Linked DNA regions of Struthio camelus. The protein of the gene in region 1 interacts with the protein of each later gene in a biochemical or structural test. Links are inferred from orthologs where the notes say so. Each region holds a gene or a part of one and is shown on either strand. Other genes may lie near its edges.

The links.
Region 2: the proteins of LRRK1 (region 1) and BAG5 form a complex in vitro, tested with the Homo sapiens proteins (2 studies listed by BioGRID and IntAct, with this or other methods). The link is inferred for Struthio camelus from reciprocal best matches to the Homo sapiens genes LRRK1 and BAG5.

Annotation. Positions count from the first base shown.
Region 1 is NC_090953.1:4,464,446-4,474,566, forward strand, and holds the start of LRRK1 (leucine-rich repeat serine/threonine-protein kinase 1), read right to left. Parts: upstream 4,595-10,121; 5' UTR 4,405-4,594; intron 488-4,404; 5' UTR 339-487; coding exon 272-338; intron 1-271. Other genes in the region: ALDH1A3 (retinaldehyde dehydrogenase 3), read right to left, coding at 9,666-9,738.
Region 2 is NC_090946.1:72,465,428-72,475,364, forward strand, and holds the start of BAG5 (BAG family molecular chaperone regulator 5), read right to left. Parts: upstream 3,766-9,937; 5' UTR 3,673-3,765; intron 3,036-3,672; 5' UTR 3,008-3,035; coding exon 1,655-3,007; 3' UTR 1-1,654. Other genes in the region: COA8 (cytochrome c oxidase assembly factor 8), read left to right, coding at 3,845-3,970, 4,450-4,647, 5,937-6,000, 7,870-7,960, 9,635-9,740. UniProt on the Homo sapiens protein: Co-chaperone for HSP/HSP70 proteins. It functions as a nucleotide-exchange factor promoting the release of ADP from HSP70, thereby activating HSP70-mediated protein refolding.

The DNA.
Region 1 (10,121 bases):
ATACACATACTGACTAATTCTGTAGCTTTTCAGAGAAAATTGTTTTTCAGAGGAGTGCTATTCTTACCTCCTGAATAGTTCAACAGCATTCTCCTTGCAAGTAAAATTACTTGTTACATCTTACAGTTTTTCAAAGACTAGCACTCAGATCATTCAAAGACCTTTTACATATTCAAATTTCACTGCAACTCAGTAGAAGCTGGCTACCTAGTTCTCTTAAAAACGTCTGCTCCCCATCTGACCAGGAAAAAAAAGAAATTGTTCCATTTACCATTTTGTGGATCCATGTTGCACTCTCTGCAAACAGCAGCTTCCTCCGTTCCCACACACCAGTACATTCTGGGTTGTAGTCGTGAAGGTTCAACAAGCAAACTTTTCTGCAGCACTTCAAATTGAATAGTGTTGTCAAAGCTGAACGACCTCTGTCAAGTAAGTGCAGGAACAGGGCCGCTGCTAGTAAACACCATCCTGAAGAAACACCATGTCCCTGTGTAAAAACACACAACAAAACAAATCAGTCCTCCTAGAAATTGCAAGAGGCTTATTCCTCTGCACTTACAAACACAGTTGTCTAGATATCACTTTGGAGAAACGCACCCCTCATCTTATGCAAATATAAACACAATTAGTTATACAATAGCTTTGTTAAGAGCATAATGTGAATTAACAGAGGAGTCTAACAACGTCTCCACTATAGAAAAGATAATGTTCCCAATTTTTCTCAGCCAAAGCTGCTCAGTATTTGTTCTGAGGGGGTGGGCAGGGGTCACAGCTGCAGTTTCAGATTCTCCACAAGCTAGTGTAAATTCAGAGCACTGAAATGATGCAATGCAGCTGGAAAAATCCTAACTGCAACCTCAAAATCTTTCCCGTTCACAAAGACGACTGTGACTCTTGTAAGACTCTACTGTGAGAAACTGAAAAATACTGATGTGGTTACTGATGTGGAGACAATCCTCTACAGAAAGAAAAAAGAGCTAAGAGGAACACACAAGCTTCTTTCCCCTTTGCCCAGTCATTTCAGAGAACTCTAATACCATGAAAACAGCAAGCTGCTTCAAACGTGGGCATGGAGGCAAGTCAGACCCTTAAGTACTCTTAAAGGTTGCCTTCTCTTAAATTGCCTTGCATAAGAAGCAGCAGAAGACCGAAGAGCTCAATCCGCCGCGGCATTTCCAACCTCTTCCCTCTTTAGAGCTGCACACCTGTGATTTTCTTTCCCTTAACGCATCTTCCACAGAGGTTAAGGCTAGGGGTGGATTTCCGGTGTGTGCCCAACTGGCATCACTGTTCCTTCATCTTCTCCTTTCAGTTTCAGTCTGTAAAGGCCTCTCCAACATGACACGATGCCCCTCACCTCTGGTTCTAATTAGACTTTCTCGTGTCTGGTGTTGTGATGCTGCAGTGTTGAGCAGAGGCTCTAATTCAGCCAAGCGCACGTACCCAGGTTGGCCAGCAAGACCAAGTATACCGTGAACCCTGCCTGAACAGAGCTGCTCTCTTGGGCTGGGATCAAAGAGCAAGGAGAATATAAAAATACACCCATCCATCACCACTCTCCAGGCAGCCTCCTGCTCTCCCCCCATTAAATAGGGTTTTAACAACGAGCTGACAACGTTACCAAATCACCCAACCCTCTATCAGTAGTTTCTAGGCGAACATCTGCGCTTTGGGTGCAGGTATGGTAAAATTCAGTTTCTGATGACCCTTGCGTTGTGGTGGCCAGCAGCGAGAACCAAACCGCCCCACGCACGCCCCTGCCTCCTGCATGTGGAGGAAGCCACCGGCTGCAGTTTGTGGTTCTTTCGTGCTTTTCAAAGGCAGGAAAAAAAGGTGAGTGCTTTTCAAAGGTGGGTGCTGCAAATAACACAGGTTGAGCTGCCCGGATCAGACTCCACACAAGCCTTTCGCACGCACCCCACAGCCAAACGCCTCCTCCTCGGTGGGCCGGATGGCCGCAGCTCCCGCTGCACGCCAGCAACAGAGCATCCCTCTCTCTGTCCCCGTCACGGAAAATGGCGGCAGTGGCTCATCTCTCAGGACAGCCCTGGCGTGATGGACAGCGTGGAGGTGCCACGGAGGTCTCACGGGAGGCTGTAACCCTTTCGAGCACAGATAAGACTGCTACTGTGCTGTTTGTGCCGCCCAAAAGCTGCCCCGGCCGTTTATCCTGACAACGGAGGGGACATGATGTTTCCAGCGCTGGCAGCTGCCCTCTCTGCACCCTCACTGTAAATGCGCTGAGCAAGTACCGTAAAAAAGAATATGTCCCCATGCAAAGGCCAACAGAATAGCTCTTTTGGCAGATGCTGGGTTTTGCGTGGCCTTCCCTCGCGGTACAGCTAGGGCACGCTGTGCACACCTGCAGCGATCGTGGGAGAAATACCGGACTGGGGTCAGTATGCACCACGGAGGTTTGAAAACACTCCCAATTTCAGGATTTCTACCCAGCTTCATACGTAGTGAAAGCAAAAAACTTTCAGGAAAGATAATGGGAGTGACGTTGGTAACGGGTACAAACTGAACCACAGGCAGCTCCGTCTGAACATGAGGAAAAACTTCTTCACTGTGAGGGTGACTGAGCACTGGAACAGGTTGCCCAGAGACAACCTGTCCCGAGTTGGACTAGATGATCTCCAGAGGTCCCTTCCAACCCCAACCGTGCTGTGAATCTGTGATAACCAGTCCCCTTTCACTGTGACTAGCACACCAAACGCCTGAACCATAAAGGTATTATTGCCACAAAGCACCCCTGCAAGGAGTACTGCCTGTGCATCTCTGTATTTCACTACCTTTGTTTAGATAATAAAAACCATCCCTGAAGTGCTTTTACCCAAAGTTACCAACAATATGAGCTCAGCTGTAACACCTGCAAAAAACATTTAAATTTGATTTAGGGACGGAGAACTCCTGAAAAAACAGCGTACTACTTGGGATCCTACAGGCTGGGCAGCCCATTTGGAAGGAGCGGGACGGAGAAGGAATACATCCCAACGCTGATTTACATCCCATTTCACACAGCCCCAATTTCTCTCCTGAGGCGCTATTATTGCTGGCTTTTAGCTAACGTCTAGAGAAGTTAATGTCTGCTTTTCTAAGGAAGATATTTTCCACGGGTAGCATCGTTCATTGTGGAGCACTTCCCAGAGCTCAGTTAAGGCTCCTGTTACTCCTTGGCTCGTCACCCCCAGCTGCAGATCGTCCGGGTGAGGAGGGCTGGCAGCCCAGGCCCCGGTGGGACGCGTGCACACCCTGGGCGGCTCTGCAGGTAAGGTGGTCCCGAATGCAAACAGAAAAAGGACAGCTGGACCCAAGCTGCTCTCCGAGCGTCCCCGCCGCGCGCTCCCCAGCATATCCGACCGTGTCTGTACCATCTCGAGATCCTCCTCTCAGCTCCTCCAGCCAAGCCAGGCTTGCTGCACGCGCATCGAAGCGCGGTCAGGCACCCAGACACGCCACAGCTTACCCGAGGTCACCTCCCAATCGGGGGAAACCCTCCAGAAACAAGTCCTTTACTCAAACCACCTACTCTTTCTCGAGAGGTCCACTTAGCCTTAGGAGCTGCGTTAAGACGCGCGGGGCAACGCCGCGCGCCGGAGCAGGCGGCCGAGGCCGTCGCCGACGGCCCGCGGGCTCGTTCCTGCGCCGTCGAGAGAGAGGCGCGGGGCCGAAGCCGCGCCTGGAGGCTGAAGCGCTCCGTTTGACGGCGGCGTAACCCACCGCCTCGCGCGGGGACCTCCCTGCTAGGGGCAGCTAGGCGAACCTCCGAGCCGCGCCGCGGCCTTCGGCAGCTCCGCGCGGAAGAAGAACCGCCGCTCCCTCCTCCACAGGGCGGACGGCGAAGGAGGCATACAGCATCCTTGCCCTCGGGAGGGCGGGAAACGGCTGCAGAAAGCTCCCAAACCGGACCCGGCCTGCCAAGCTCCCTTCCCGCTCGTCCTCCGGCGTGAGGCCCCCGCGCCCGTCTGGCGACGAGGCGAAAGAAAACCCCAACGCGGGGTTTTCTCGCTGCCGAGCACCTGGCGAAGGGCGTGAGGGAGCCGGGGCGGCCTCGAGCTGCGGAGGAGGAGGAGGAGGGAGGGCGCGGAGCCGGGTGGCTCGGCGGGCAGCGGCGGCAGGAAGGCGGCAACGGGCTGCGCGTTACACGCCGCCGCCGCCACCGCCGCTCGGCGCCCGGACATAAAAGGAAGTTTTTCCTTACGGCTCCTCGCAAGTATTTCCTTTCCCCCCATCGCCGGCTCCCAAGCACGCCCGCTTCCCCCCAAGTTCCGTCTAAACTCTTTGCTTTTTTTCCTTTTTTTTAAACCCTTTTGGTGCCCCCCCCCCCGCCCTTCGCAGCCCGCCCGGCGCACCCCGCGCCCCCTCAGCGCAGCCCCGGCGCGGGGCAGGTGCCGCCCGCGCTACCTCCTGCCTGCGGGGTCCCTGCGCCGCCGTCACCGCCTCCTCCTCCTCCTCCTCCTCCGGCGCCGGCCGCCCGCCTCGTCGCTCTGCGGCGCGGGAGGCGGAGGGAGGAAGGAAAAGGGAGCGGGGGCAGAAGCGCGGCGGCGCCTCCTCCGCCACCGGGCCCGCCGGCGCGGGGTCAGGGCCCGCCCGCGGGCCCCACCACGGCCGCCGCCGCCGTCCCAGAGGCCTCCGCGCGGGCCCTGGCCGGGCTGCGGGGCTCCATCTTGTGCCGGCCCCGGCGGCGGCGGCGCGGTCGGCCGCTGCCTGCGGCTCCTCGGCGCGACGGGACGCGCTCACCCCGTCAGCGAGCTGCCCTCTTCGGGCGGCTGCTACGCGGGCTCACGCCATTGGGGTTCGGTTTTGTTGTGTTTTGTGTTGTTCCCCTCCTCCCCCCCCCCCGGAAAGGTCTGTCTGGAGTTGTCGGGGTCGGAAGCAGGACCGCGTCTCTCAGCCCCAGCAGGTCCCTCGGGTGGCGTCGCCGTCACCGCAGCCCCCCGTGTCGCGTCCCGCATGTTTCTCGGAGCTCTTGGCGCTGCCTTCGGCCCTCGCGCGGATCCCTTCTCTGGGTCTGCTTCTCCGCTGAGGCCCGGCCCTAGCGCCAGCGGAGTTAATCGCAGATTGTGTCTTTGCAAGCTGCTCCTCTCCCGGCTGGGGGAAGAAGCCTACCGCTTTTTGGAAAAACAAAGCAAGGTTGCCCCCTCTCTTCTGCAGGCGTTACGCTCTCGCTGCGCTCCCCATCGCATAGCCCTTCATCTCCTGCTACCAGGAAACTCTCCCAAGCCTGATGGGGCTTTTTCTTCCCCACCCACTGGACCAGCTACGAGAACACCGTTTTTGCGTGCCCTTTATTTTACTGTTCGTGACGACTCCTTACATTACCTACACAGCTTTTTTCTTCCTTGGCCCCACAGAAGAAAGGGATCTCCGATGATCGCTTGAGGATGGGAGTAGCCATATCCATCCTCTGACTAGTCTTGAGGTTTGTCCTAGGGTGTTCTCGTGCTGTGATTGTGGAGATAGACAGAGAGGATGGGTCCTCGTCGATGCTTTCACTTGGGTTCGAGTGCCCGTGAACCCCGCTTCTAGCTGCAGCCCTAGCAGTGTTACCCATCTGGCGCCCTTCTGTCCGGGCTGCTGTCTTTTACGCCTCACAGCCTGGCTCTTATCCAGACCTTTCTTGCAGCCTTTTCCACCCAATTGTTTGAAAAACCACTAACATCACTTAGTTTTGCCTTTATTTTGATAAACACTGTCATTTCCCCGAACGAGAATTTCTCCAGACAGTCAGGCTAAAAAAACTTGGTTTTTTTTTTTCCTTTCTAAATTTCATCCCAGGCTCCCTGGCTTATGCCTCCATCGATTATGTCACTCACAATCATTTCTTTGCATCTCCAGCCTTCACCTTTTCCATGTTTAGTGTCACAGCTTCTGAGCGATGCCGTTTGCAAGTGCAGGAAAAACTCAAGGGGGTTGGCTTGGCCTAGGTAGGGAGCTGACAGCGGTTGGTATTTTTCTCACACGCGTGTTACCAGATGCGAGCAGTGAATGCCGGACGAAAGGCAACGATATCAGTGCGTTCTCGCTTGCCGTCCGCGTGGCAGATGAGGGAAATTGGATAGGAACGGGACAGGGTGGAGCAGAGTCATGAGAGTGAGGGATGCGTCTCACAGGGTTTAGCAAGCCGGACCGAGGCAAGGAGCCTCATCTGGCAGGGTGGTCCCCAGCCCCTTGCCTTTCAGGCTCACCCCAAGAATGGGAGAAGGATCCCTCCTACTTCAAACTGGCAGAAGCTGTGCTTGCCCCTGCCAGCTGCAACCCTGCTCCCTCACCTCCCCCACCCCGTTTACTGGAAATGGCACAACTTAACAAAAGCAACTGCTTAGATAATAAGCTAACAAACACACGCTCTAGCTTTTGTTTGTAGAGCACTGACCACACTTCAGCCCTTTACTTCCCTTGCCTTTTTTAAAATAGGCTATTCTTCACAAAATGCAGAAGTGAATTCAAGTTCAGATTCCTTCTCAGTCCCCCAGTGAGATACTGAATCCCCACATCCACAGATGCACAAACACACTCTGCATTCAGTCCTGCGATGTGCGGAAGGTATCTTGAAGTTACATCGCCCCTTGTGAGCCCAGGGCACGTTCCTGTTTGGGGAATCCCGCTGGCTCACTGACTCGAGGGGAACAGACAGAGCGCTGTTCTGAGAAGAGCCCCCTGCAACTAGAGCAATACAGGGCCATTTTGTTTCAGAAGCATGAAACCTTAACCCTTTCCAGTGTTTGCTTTTAGTGTCGCAATGGGCCAAATTCAGAGATGAAATGAAAAACAGACAGGAGGACTGAGTCGAGTGGAAGGGGGGGGCGCTGATGGAAGGGGTCTTAACACTTGCGTTAGAGGGGCCAGAATTTTCTTAAGGCACTAATCAGCGTACATAAAAAAGGATTACAGTTACTTCTCTGTTAAAACGAGTAAAGTCAGTAGAAGTGTGTCCCTTTCAGTCATCCTTCCTAGGCAATACCAGAATACAGTATTTAGAAACTATACCACAAAGTTAAACATTTATTAGGAACAAGAGAACTATTACAAAAAGATACCCATATTCTAAATATATACATGAGGTTTAAACATAGCATTTCCATGTACCTTTAACTATAAAAATACATTAGATTAACTGTATCCTAATTTATAAATATAGTTCTTTTCTTTAAAAAGTAGTATTTCATATGAAAGCCTTACTGTGCAATGAAAGAATATATACCCTCTAAGGGGTTACTTTAAAGTTAGTGTCTAGTGTTATATAACTTAGATAATTCAGTGTGTAGAGTCAAACCCTGATTTATACAATAAGAGATACATTGACTTTTTTTTTAAACTTGATAGGGGAAAAAAAGAGGTGAAATATACATTATACATATAAAGGCAGACTACTAGGATTTTAAGAGTACCAGATGATTTCCATTTCAACCACTGTTTATCAAAAATGAATATAGAAGCTACATCAAAATAACCAGCCTTTTACTATTTGCCTCGCCTCCCTGTTGTCTGACTGCAGCCCTAGAAAACCATCAACTTGGCAAAAGTAAAATGTTTGTCTGAGAAGATGTTTGCACTCTAAGTGTATTACAAAAATAGAAGCTTATTTACAGTTTTCCCATTTGGCCTTTCATGGGGTAGGCAGGACATTTTCTTCACCAGATGGGGAGACTTACCTGTGGAAGCCCTGTCTCACATATCCACCGGAAGACAGGCACTCAGCTGTACACAATTGTTGGAGGTATGTCATTTGAGAAATTAAGCAGTGTTGAAGTGCAGTTTCAATGTTCACTAACTAATAAGGAAGTTTAGGCCCATGCAAACATTCTCCTTACTCATCACCACCCACCTTCCTTCCCCCTCCAAAAAAGGTCCACACATGCAACAGCACTTGTACTGACTGGGTACATCTCTGATCAGAGGAAATTACTGGTTAAATCCCTGCTTGCTTCAGGGACTACAGACTAGACCTGCATTTCTGCTTCAAGCCCTGACACCCGGAAAACTCCCAGCAATGATCTTTACCAGTGCTCCATAGCGATCTGTAGATAATTCACTAAGGAACATGCATCAGTTTGCTCTTAGAGGACGAACCCAAAGGGATCAGCCAAAGTTCCCACTCAGCTGACCCCACTACCTACCACGTACTTACAGCCCGCATCGACATGGAGCTTCCTGTAGGTTTGCCAGTGGTTCTTCAGTACAGTATCAGGGGTGAGGGAAGTAGCAAACCCAGGAACTGAAGACAGCATATGGCTTTTCCTTAAGCCCACAGTAAGTAACATCTGCAAAGAAGTTAACTGCAGGATATACTAAGGTATGAACTTAGTGTGACAGCCGCTCCATGGATGCTATTTGTGTGCATGCTTATACAACTGTAAACGAGGGAATGCAAGGTAGTTTATTCCTCAGTGAAGGACCAGTTACTCCGTTTGCCACAAGATGATAGGACTCACAGGGACAATTGCTGCAGAGCTGCTGACACATTTAAGTCTGGCCACATCTTATTCCACGGTAACTGGTTTGTACACCCACCTCTTTAGCATTCAGTATATGCTTAGGAGCACCTGCCTTTTCATACTGTGCTTCCAGAAATCTACTTTAAGCTACACTCGTAAGGGAGAAAGAAGCAGTGAGGATAACTTGTAAGTTTTACTCACATAATTAGCTCTGGCTCAAAAATGAGATGTCCACACAGTCTGAAAGTGACAGAGCAAGACACAGCAAGACAGCTTTTTGCAGCACTTTTGCTCCCTGCCCTCAGATCAGTAGGACGGGCTTGGGTCTGTGTGCCGTGGATGTTTTCCATGGGGTATCTACCATGCTACATGCTTAGCATTCAACTCTGTGTCATCACGGTAAGTACAGTGCAAAATCCTCTTGCAGAAAGTGCTATAGCGAAGCTTTGAGATACCGTTGTGACTCATTTGGAGCCAGAGGGGCTAGCAAGTCAGTAACTTGCATGTGCAGCACGTGTATGCATGTACAGCAAAACATCTAGTTCATAGGACACTTTAAAGTCTAGCTACATTGGGTGAAATACTGGCCCCAAAGGATTCATCTAAGAAACTTCCATAAACCTCATTCAGGGCTAGAATATCACCAATATGGGGGATGCAAGTATCTTTAGAGAGACCAAGATAGCTCTTTCAAACAGAATTGCTTTACAGTTCCTTTCGTGAAAGCTTACACTCCCATCTAAAACTCTGATTGCAGTCTTCACACAAACTCTTATCAACTTCAGTTATATTAGCCCTACGCTCAAGTCCATTTATGCCAAGTGAAACCCATACGCCTCTGAAGGTGTTTAACAATCCATGCTAACGGTACCAGAAGTCACTCTAACTTGCCATTGACGTCCAAGTCCTTCAGGGGCACGTTTTGAAAAGCAGATGTCCTGAAAACACTGACCAGTATTTTAATCACAGGTAGCAGACTATGCAGCCAGGGACTTGCGTAGTACAAGCGTGTGCTGTGCTGCCAGTAGGGTCAGTTAAATCAGTTTTTGAAGAGCTAGTTGACAGAATGGCGTCCAGTAGATTCAGTGTTTCTAGAGGAATAAAGTAAGGTGTTTCTCCAAACAAGTGCTGTTTCGATTTTCCTTCCTACCCCTCCCCTCCCCCTTGCTCTGAACACGTCCCCCATGTGTCACATTCAGAGTGTCAGCATTTTTAGGCCTTCTGCTTTCATGGACTCTTCTGGGAGAGTTTAATGGTGACTGTTTTCACTTCAGTATATTCTGCCAAAGCATATTCACCACTGCAAAAGAAGGGGGAGAAGGGAAAGGGACAAACAGTTGTAGCTTGTTAATATATACTTCCTCAAGATAAGAGGTTTCTACACAAGTGCAACTTAGTCGCAGACCAACAGCTGCTGTAAACAATATCAGGCCATTTAAAACCAGATCTGAACTAATGTACGCCAGCTGTCAGTCTGGCCCACCATGTCTAATTATCACTGTGTACATGCACATACATACATACACTAATACACCCTGCCTGCCATAAAAGAAACAATGAATGCTTCAGGTTGCAGTAAACCACAAGTTGACACTTCAGGGCTCCCAGCCTAATGAAAGTGAGTACTGTTGTGAGATCCTATAGAAGAAGCATCCATATGAATATAGTTATCGGTGATTAAAC
Region 2 (9,937 bases), on another chromosome or scaffold:
CCTAATCTCCATATCAACACATCCATTTTCAAACAGAATCTGTATTTCCCAAATTGGTGACTCACTATCGAGTCTCCAGAGAACAACTGTCACCTATTGTATTATGTTAACTTAACATATATTATAGTGGAATGAGATATAGGATAAATCTAGTGGGTAAAGATTACAGCTCCATCAAGCTGCCAGTCAGCAGTTCCTATGTCTACATACGATGGTACAAGTCAAAGGTGTCATAAAGGCACTTGTCTCTCACAGAAGTATCGTCTTCTCTAAGGAGTTAAAAATATATCTAAAAATAGTTTTAATTTAACATCCAAAATTGTTTATACTCCTTACAGTGGTGCAAATAATCATCTACAGAACAATAATTTACAAATTCAACATGAAAGAACTAAGTGCAAAATATCCATAATTAAATATTGATCCATTTAATTTTAATGCCATGCTCTCAAAAATGCCAAAACACATGCTACTGTAGAAATGTCACTGATGCTAGCAGCTACAAATAATAAGGGAGGCTCCTAGAGCAGTATAAGCAAGCTTATTTACTAAGTTACTAAAACCATTAAGCGATGAGTTGCAAAGAGAGATATATGCCACAGGTCTTTTCCAAGTCATGCTTGAAGCCACACCTGACCGATATGAAATACATAATACACATTTAAATCATTAGGGACACCTCTATAGCTACCTAATTTTACAAAAATAATTCTGAAATGCTCATTCATTTCAGCGTGACTTCTATTTTTACCAAATGTGAAAAAGACTAGTCAAAAGCAAATCTAACAGCAGAGTTTAAAAAGACCCTAAGTAGCCACTAAAGAAAGTTCAGTGCATTTTTCAGGGGTTTATGGAGAGCAGTATGAAACCCTACAAATCCCATTTATCTAATCAGTGTATGTGCACAGATTTTCCTCTCCAAGTCTCATTTACCTCAAAGCAAGAATTTGAGGGAAGTTTCCACCAACAGAAGGAAAAAACCCTGCATTTGCAAACAGAACGGGTCAGATATTACAAAAACAGACCTAATTGGCTTTGCCTATGTAAATGCTAATTTGCAGTTGGCATTATAGTTCTGCTAGGTAAGAAATCTAAACACCCATAAAGGTATGCTGGATGGAATAAATCAAGTATGACTCAAAAGCCAGCAGTTTTTTGCATTTAATACTTTCCATCATAACAGCACATTAAGAGTATATCCAGACTGCTATGAACTTGCTGGATAGATCCTCATGCTTAAGCGCTAATTTTTATGCCCAGTCTTCTTGAAGTAGTTCTGCCAGTCCTATACCATAAGGCAGTTTCTGCACCTTTGAAAAAGCTGCACTCTCTAAACATTGCACAAGATTATCACAACAAAAACAGGGAAAAAAGCCCATTCGACCAGGTATTAAGCCATTCCTTCAGAGGATCACATTTCTTTGCTTGACAGCAATGACCAGAATTGCTGATGGTGTACTGACAGTTGCCATGGCAAGTGGGTGAGCGCGTGGGATAGCAGACATATAGCCAAGTCAACTTCTTATGCAATTGCCATGATTTAAGCAAACATACAACACATCACTTTTAATCACGTGCTGCCAATTGAACTATCAGTCTGCAGAAAGCACCAAAGGGGAAAAAAAAAGGTATTTTCTGTTAGACTATGGCTGTTTCAGTACTCCCATTCATCTGTTTTCATATCCAGATAGTAAAGAATGTTCTGTGCAAGCTTCACTGCTTGCTTTCTGGCAGCCTTAACCCGCTCATCACCTTGTGGATCAACAGCATCGAGTGCTAGAAGTTGCTTTGTAAGAAGCTCTTCCAGTCTCATGTAATTTTTATCCATTCTGTTTCCATCAAATGAAATCACTTCCTGCTGAATTTGAGACAAGTTTCCAAGAACGCCCCAAACTGCTTTATGAGATTGATGTTCAGCAGCAGTTTGCTCAGGATACATTTGCCTTTTTTCAAGCGCTTCCTTTAAATCAATATACGTTATCAGAGTCTGCACTTCTATTACTGCTCTTCTCCTGGCTTCTCTAATACAGGGGTTTTTCCCTGGACTGACTTCATCTAATTGGGCAATTAATCCTTGCAGTTCTGCCTTGGATCCCAAATACAAGTCAGAAGCATTCTCTGTTTTTAAAAGTAAAGAATTAACTTCCTTCATTTTCTTGCGGATTTCTTCTATTTTTAGAATGGACTGATTTTGTGCCAGGTCATAAGCATGAGTAGAATTTGCTTCCTCCTCCAAGTCCAGATATTTCTGCAGTTTATTGATCTCTTCGACTACTTCCTTTCTGTAGTTCCTTATTTCTGTGCGACCACAGACATCTAAAGCATCCAAATCAGCAATCAAGCCTGTGAGCACGCAGGATAAATGCCTGCAGGTATCATTGCTATTAACTCCCATTAGAAGTGCAATAAGAGTTCCTCTAGCTTTGTTCACATCACACATTACAGAGTTAATTTTGGAGACAGAAGGATGTGCATCATTAGAGAGTGGTAGGGACAGCTGTTGCTTTACACAGCTTTCTATAATCTCCTGAACAGCGCATACTTTCGTCAGAGTGCGATATCTTGCTTTGCGTAAAGAAATTTTCCCTCCAGTTTTCACCTGAGTAAGCCTCAATATAACGTCCTGAATACCTTCTTCAAATTCATCACTTATACAGTTGCCTCCTTTGTAAAAAGGTGTAATCTCACGTTCCACAAGCAACTGTGCTTCCTTGAATATAGCCTCTATTTCCAGTCTGTGGGGATGGTTTGCATTTTGTTCCAGTTCCTTGAGTAGCCTCTCCGTTTCCTGAGCCGCACGCTTTCTGGCTTGCTGAATATCTCCTTTTCCTTCAGTATCTACGGAATCTATTTCAAAAAGCTGTTTAGTAAGAGTCCTTTCTAGTCTCTTATAATCTTTGTCAGTAGACAAGCCACTGAAGATGACAACTTGTTGTTCGATCTCTTTGACTTCTTTCTGTATTTCATGCAACCGTTTTATGGATGGATGTTGGTTGCCCATATCCATTCTCCTCTTTCTTCCAGTTTCAGATGAACTACAAAGAAAGTCAGGAAAAGACGTACGATTAATAAAACGCTATGCGGGCATTTCGTTCCGTGGCGGCCTGAGACACCTCAGCAGGGCAGCTACTTAAATCCCTCTATCAAGAGGAGTTAAAAACAAAAACAAAACCGTGTCCGGTACTCTGCAGCCGTTCCTCTGTTCTTTCACACCTCCGGCCGCGGCGGGGGGAAGCCGAGGGATGCCACAACAAGCTCGGGGCGTTTACCGGAGAAGTTCAGCCTTGCCCTCGCGGCCGGCTCTGGGCGACAGGGCAGGGCGGCAGCGCGCCGCAGACCCGCTCTCGCCGCGCCGCGCCCCCGGCCGCCGCCCGCCGCCTCCAGCCGGCACAGGCCCCGCAGGGCCTCCCCCCGGCGCCGCCGCCTCAGGCCGCGCCGCCCCCGGCCGCGGCGCCCCGAGCCGGGGCGGAGGGCGGCCAGGCGGCGCCCGCAGATCACAATGGGCCGCTGCTGCGCCAGCCCCCGGCCCGCGGCGGCGGCGGCGGCACCCGAAGGGGGTCTCCCACCCGCCGCCGGGCCCGCGGCGCACAGCGCAGCAGACCCGCCCGCCCGCCCGCTCGCTCCGCCGCCGCCGCCGCCTCCCTGCCCGCAGGCCCGGCCCGGCCGCCTCACCTGTCTCGCCCGCCGGCCCGCTGTCCCGGCGCTGCGCCACGGGCCGAGCGGCAGCCGAGGGCCGCACGCTCCGCTCCGCTCCGCCCCGCCCCGCTCCGCCCCGCTCGGCTCCGCCAGCCCCCGGCCGCGGGGCGCTCAGCGCCGGCGGTTCCCTGAGCGCCGTAAAGCGGCGATGGCCGCGACCGTTAGGGCGGCGGCGGGCGCGCGGCGCCTGACGGGGGACGTTGGGTGCCGCTGCCTCTCCTCGGCCGGCGGCGGCGGCGGCGGCGGGACGGCGGCTGAGCGGCCGGAGAGCGGGGTAAAGCCGTGCGGGGGGCAGCTCGAGGCCGGGCCCGGTGCCGCGGGGGCAGCCGGCGGGACGGGACGGGACAGGGCGCGGGCGGCGGCCCACTCGGCTCGACCCGGCCGGGCCCGGCTCCTCCCGGCTGCGGGGACAGAGCTGAGGCCGCGGGCAGGGTCTCCTGCCGGGGGAGCGCCGGTAAGGTAAGCAAGCAAAAGAGCAGGATTTGGGGCTTATCTTAATTACTGTTATTTATCATGATTCCTATCTGTCGGAAGAGTTAAAGGTATCTTTTCTGTAATTCATCTCCAAACGTGAGTGAGTCATGAGCGTATGACAGTTTTCAGTCAACATGAATGAATGTGCATGACTTCTGACCTTGCTGCGTGTTTTAAGGTTATATCCAGTCGTGTGGAGTTGCGGGATTTGTTTCACATCAGGCTCTTCCGCAGAAATTGCGCTAAAGTGGTGATAATCCTTCTGTATGTATTTTTAAGGGATCGGGTTTCTGCCCTCCAGCACATTCTTGTAACGATTGGATTGGCCCGCCCGACAAGTACTCAAATCTCCGACCAGTAATCTTCTATGTTCCCCAAAATGAATCCCTGCTGGAGCGCCGGCTCAGGGAGCTCAGAGAGGAAACCCAGGCTTGGAACCAGCGGTTCTGGGCACGCCAGAACGTGTCCTTCCAGCAGGTGAGCGGGCAGGGGAGGGCTGCGCCGCGCGCCGCTGCCCAGCCCCCGCAGCCTTTGGGGTGCTGGCCCTCTGCAAGCAAAGGCGTTCCTGTTCTCCGTTAAAAGGATTTGATGACTGCGCAGTAGGATGACCTTGAGCGATGATTCCTGCGTTATATGGCTATCCCAAATAGCCAAGTTCACAAAATTATGATTTTTCCCTTCACAAACTAGCATTAAATTCTGCCTTCAGTTACTTATCTCTTGCTTTTAATTGCTACTACAGCTTCTTTTAATAAGTTCACTGTCTTTGGGGAAATTCCTTTTTGTCATTAATTTTATTCTCAATGTTAGTTTGTTTAAAATGACCTACAAAACTGAAGAGCTTATGTATTTTACTGCTGTTTAGTGTATAAAAGGATATTTGCTTTTTCTTTTTTCTATTTTGCACTGAAAAGGTAAAGTTGTAACCACCTTTACATGCAAGACCTGTAATATTTGACTAGAGCTGCTTTTGAAAATGATTCTGCAGCTTTTTTTGCTCTACCGTAAGTGAGAAAAGTATAGGTAAGACCACTGAGGGTAAATGAGGGATGTGCGCTCTTGCACTGGCAATGTACCCCTAACAAGGCGAAAAGGGGGGACGTTTTCAGTCTTGGTCTTTCTTTTAAACATTGTACCATGGGTAAGGACACACCAAATTCTGTTGGAAGACTAGCAACAGTCCAGTAATTCACCATCACTTGTGATGGTCTTCGATCATTGTATTGTCCCCAGACTTGCAAAGGTCTTGGAGTAAGTGGAGCATGCTTTTTTTTTTTTTTTTTTCCCCCCTTAATTAGCTAGAACTGCTTTTTAAATTTGAAAATTTGAAATACTAATAGTTATTCTTTTTCCATCTAAGTAATTTCAGTTTTCTAAGGTTGCACATTTTCCTGTATACTAAAATTCTAAAATAAGTAACACAGCAAGTCTTCATAATTTGTCTTTTGTAAAACTTTGCAAGATTTGGATCCTGCAAAACAATACTTAAGCTCAGCTATAACTTTACTTCCACAAATAAGTTGCGTATGTTTCAGCAGGACACTTGCATGAATTAATTGATGCACACAGTTAACATCGAAGCAACACAATTATCAGTGTAATTAAGTCACTGGATTCAGGAAAATGTTTTTTTGACATCTCCAAGTGCAATGAGTACTGTGTATATTTTGGAGGGTATTAAGCGCAAAGCTGGCATGTGATTAAAATCAATGGTTAACTTCAAGGACTGAGTACGTTAAGTTCTAATGTGGAAAAACATATTTTAGGAAAAAGAAGAATTTATTTATTCAAGACTGAAAGCCAAGGGTCTGAAAATGAGAGATGAAACAGGTCAGTGACATCTTTTTTTGTAGTTTAGGATGTGCTCTGAAATCTGTTTAATTTTTATTTTTGCCTGTTTATGCTCCTTTCAGGAGTCTAACAGAGAAGGAGGGGAGCTCTTGAAAGCTGTGCAGGTCAGATCTGCACAACTTCCCCCCTACCCTTCCACTGGAAGGAATGTGCTGAAATCCTAGCAAAGTAATTTCATCATTCTGTACCCTTAAGGGGGAAGGTTTTTTTTTTTCCTTTCACAGCTCATCGCCCCAGTGAACTAGCTGAGCCAAACATATACTGTTTGCCCCAAGCGCATGTTACGGTTGAGTGGATAGATTCACACTGTTCAGCCTCGGGTCGATAATATGTACAATGAACATGTTATTTTTCCTTGAGGGAGAATGAGCTTCCGAGGAGACAGCAGCTGCTCTTTGCCCTTCTTTGCCTGAGGACAGTTACTGTAAAATGTTTCCCTCTCTAACTCATTACATGAAATTGAAAACAAGAGGCCTTCGTAATACAGCGAGTTGGCCGTTGTAACATGAGGTTGAACGTTTTGTTCATAGAGTAAAGATCTGTTTTGGTTTGATAGAAAACCTGCTCTGATGTTCAGTATTTCACAGACCGTTGTGTTGCACTTTTATTTGTGTCCCAGTGATCACTTTGTAGTGGAGAAAGCATTGTAATTAAATTACATGTTATTAAGAAAAAGTTTATTTTATATTGCTGATTTGTTCTTTTAGGTTTTTATATCCTAGAAGTAAAAGAGAAGATAGTAAATTTGTACATTCCTTAAAAATAAAATTGCATTCAGTGCAAATGTTTGAGTAATTGGTTTTGTTCTACGCCATGGCCCTGCTGATGGGTGATGCTGGAGCAAAATTGTTGCTATCCACAGTCTACTTGTTTGGAAATTTTCACTGAAATCACAAGACACGTGTGTGTGTATCTCTCTTGGTAATAACCTATACGTATGTGCAGTTGGAACAATGGTTATTTCTCGTATATACACGAAGACTCGGTTAGTTCTGCTGATACCAGAATGAAGAAACAAATTAACTGTAGCTGTTAAGCAGGCAGCTTTCAAATGGTCTTACGATAAGTTTACCTCATGGAATGTTAATCCATTGTAATATTTTAAATTTGTAAATATTGACAGATAGTCGTGATCAATAATTTACCTTCTGATGATAAATCTCAGGAGCTTTAAATTCATTTTGAAACGCTAACAAGCTGAATCTCTCGATTCTGTCTCCCTCATCATATCTGAATGTCCCAGGGGATAGGGATTTGATGCTCGTTTTGGAAATATCAAAAGCGCCAGAAAGTTTATATAGGAAATATCTGGTCAGAATATCATCTGGTCCTCTGGATGCTTCTTCTGTGCTGTAGCCACACATTTTCCTTTCATGATCTGTGGAGAGAATCCATCTTCTCTTATATTCTGCATTATATGAGTGGCATATTCAGATTTTTTTTTTATATTTGTGTGTGTGCGTGTGTGTATATATATATTTTATTCAGGGATATGTTTCAGGTCCTGTCTTGAACTTACTTTTCCACAAGAGACTTGTCCACCCTATTGTTAATAAATCTGACAGCCCAGAGCAGATAATCTTTCATATGAGTTACTTGAAATTTACCAAAGGCAGCAGAAAGAATTGTACCATCAAATCAAAGTTTCAAGAGGATCAGCATTTTTAATCTGCTCTGCTCCCTAGATAGATTTTTAAAAAAATAGGGAGATAGAAGCATATTAACTTGTCTAGGGATACACAGGAAGCCTGTAGGAACAAGCAACCCGAACTAGCTTTCCTGAGTCTGCACCCAGTGTTTTAATCACAAGAGCTATCTTGACAACGTTATGCTAAAACTTATTTTCAGGTCAAAAAGCAACGCTGAATGCAGAAGAAATGGCTGACTTCTACAAGGACTTCTTAAGTAAAAATTTTAGAAAGCATATGCATTACAACAGGTATGTAGATGATTTTCTTGCTGAATATTATATTACTGTCTAAGTGAAGGGCATAACATCAAATAGAAAAATCAAACATTTTTTGCCATAGTTGTTAAAATAGCATCTAAAGCTATCATTTTAGAATTTGCAGAAAAATTTGAAAAAACGCTATTAGCATTTGACATGAACTTAGGCATAGTCATTTGAGTTCTTCCACTATGTATGTTTGATTTTATGGAAAGGTAGATGTTACGTCACTCTTTCCAGAGACTTTAGTGAGACAAAATCAGGCAGCGCTCTATTCCTAAACATGCCTGCCCTTGTTTTAAAATCAGGTAGTGCCAGCTGCATCATTGCAGTTACAAAGTGTAACTGCACAGCCTTGAAAACAGCGGAGTTTATTGTAGACGTTTTGACTTTTGAGGAGTCATATTTAAAAAAAAAAAAAAAATCCGTTTATGCCTTTGTCTCTATGTTCTCCTCTATTGTTGCCAGCTGGCCTGAAAACTGTGGCTGCGGAAGTGTTGAAATTTCTAAAATTTAGTTAAATTGAGAGAATGACTGTGCATAGACTGCTTGAATACATGTTTTAGAGTATTTAGACTGGAAACACTGTTAGAAAAAACAGAATACAAATTCAAGAAGGAAATAAAAAATAGGACAAGAAATGGGAAAAGAACAGTTGCAATGTGAGCATGATATTTTGATTTAACATGATTTTTTGGTGGGTAGCTCATATTGCTTGTCAGCATGATTCCCGGTCCTGTCCTTATAAACCCAAGATATAAGCCTCTTATATTAGATCTATGCGTGAAAGGTTTCCTATTGCAATCGGCTTGCAGACTTGAATCCCTGTCTCACATTCCCTGCTAGTTCTACCGTAAGCATATTCTACTGCTTCTTGTGCAACATTTTACAAAATGGAGGAGGGCTGCTTATTGGAAGCTAGAAGGGCATGACTGAAACAAGCCCTCCAGAGGTAAACGACTGATACAGATTATCTTACCTACATCTTGATTTGGTTCCGAAAGTCATGTATGCTTCATTAAAACTATGTAAAGATACAAAGACTCTAACTTTGGAAATACTAAGGGCATCATCTTTAGAACACACTGAATTAGGAACTAATGTTTTGCCATAGCTGGTTATAGTCTTTGAAGTGTGATTTTTATTTTTTCCACTTTATGGGTAACCAGCCACGTCATTTCCAACACACGCGTCTTCATACATGCACAAGCAAATCTCACCCATAGCACAGCATTGTGCATCAGTCAGCTTCGTAACCACCTTTACTTCTGAAACATGTGATTTGGTTATGGTTATTTTAGCTTACCTAATTTCAAATATAATTGATCATAATATTACTCATTCCTTTTTAAATTTTTACAGTTAAGCTCTGAATGGTTGTAGCCATATATTCTGCAGGTAATCTGTTTGCAGATGTGGGTATTTCACATTACATGACTAATCCACAGATTCTGTCTAGCCAGCTACATAATAGGAGAAAAATAGACGTTTTCATGGGTTATTTACTTCTAACTAGGCAGGAAAAGTGTTGCCACAGAGAATGGAAAATTCATGTCATCACTGAATTGTCATTTGTCAATGCCAAAGGATATTTTAATATAATCATGTGCCTTTCTCCTGTTCTTGTTTTGTGCATTGGTTACTCTCCTGTCTTTGGAATCCTAGAGATTGGTATAAACGTAATTTTACTATCACGTTCCTCATGGGACAAGTAGCACTGGAGAGAGCTCTGAGGTGGCTTCGCTGGAAAAAGAAAAACATTGGAAATTAGTGATCACAACTCCATGAAGAATGTAATACTGTAGCTAGGCCCGTTCACTTGTTATCTGTAGTGATGTTCAGATTCTGAATGTCTAGTGCAATGATTACTTTGATCTGTTTGTTAGACTTTGTAGATGAAAGTTGCCATTGATCTTAATTTATAACCACTATTTACATTACCTTTACCTTTTATTCAAAGACTATCTC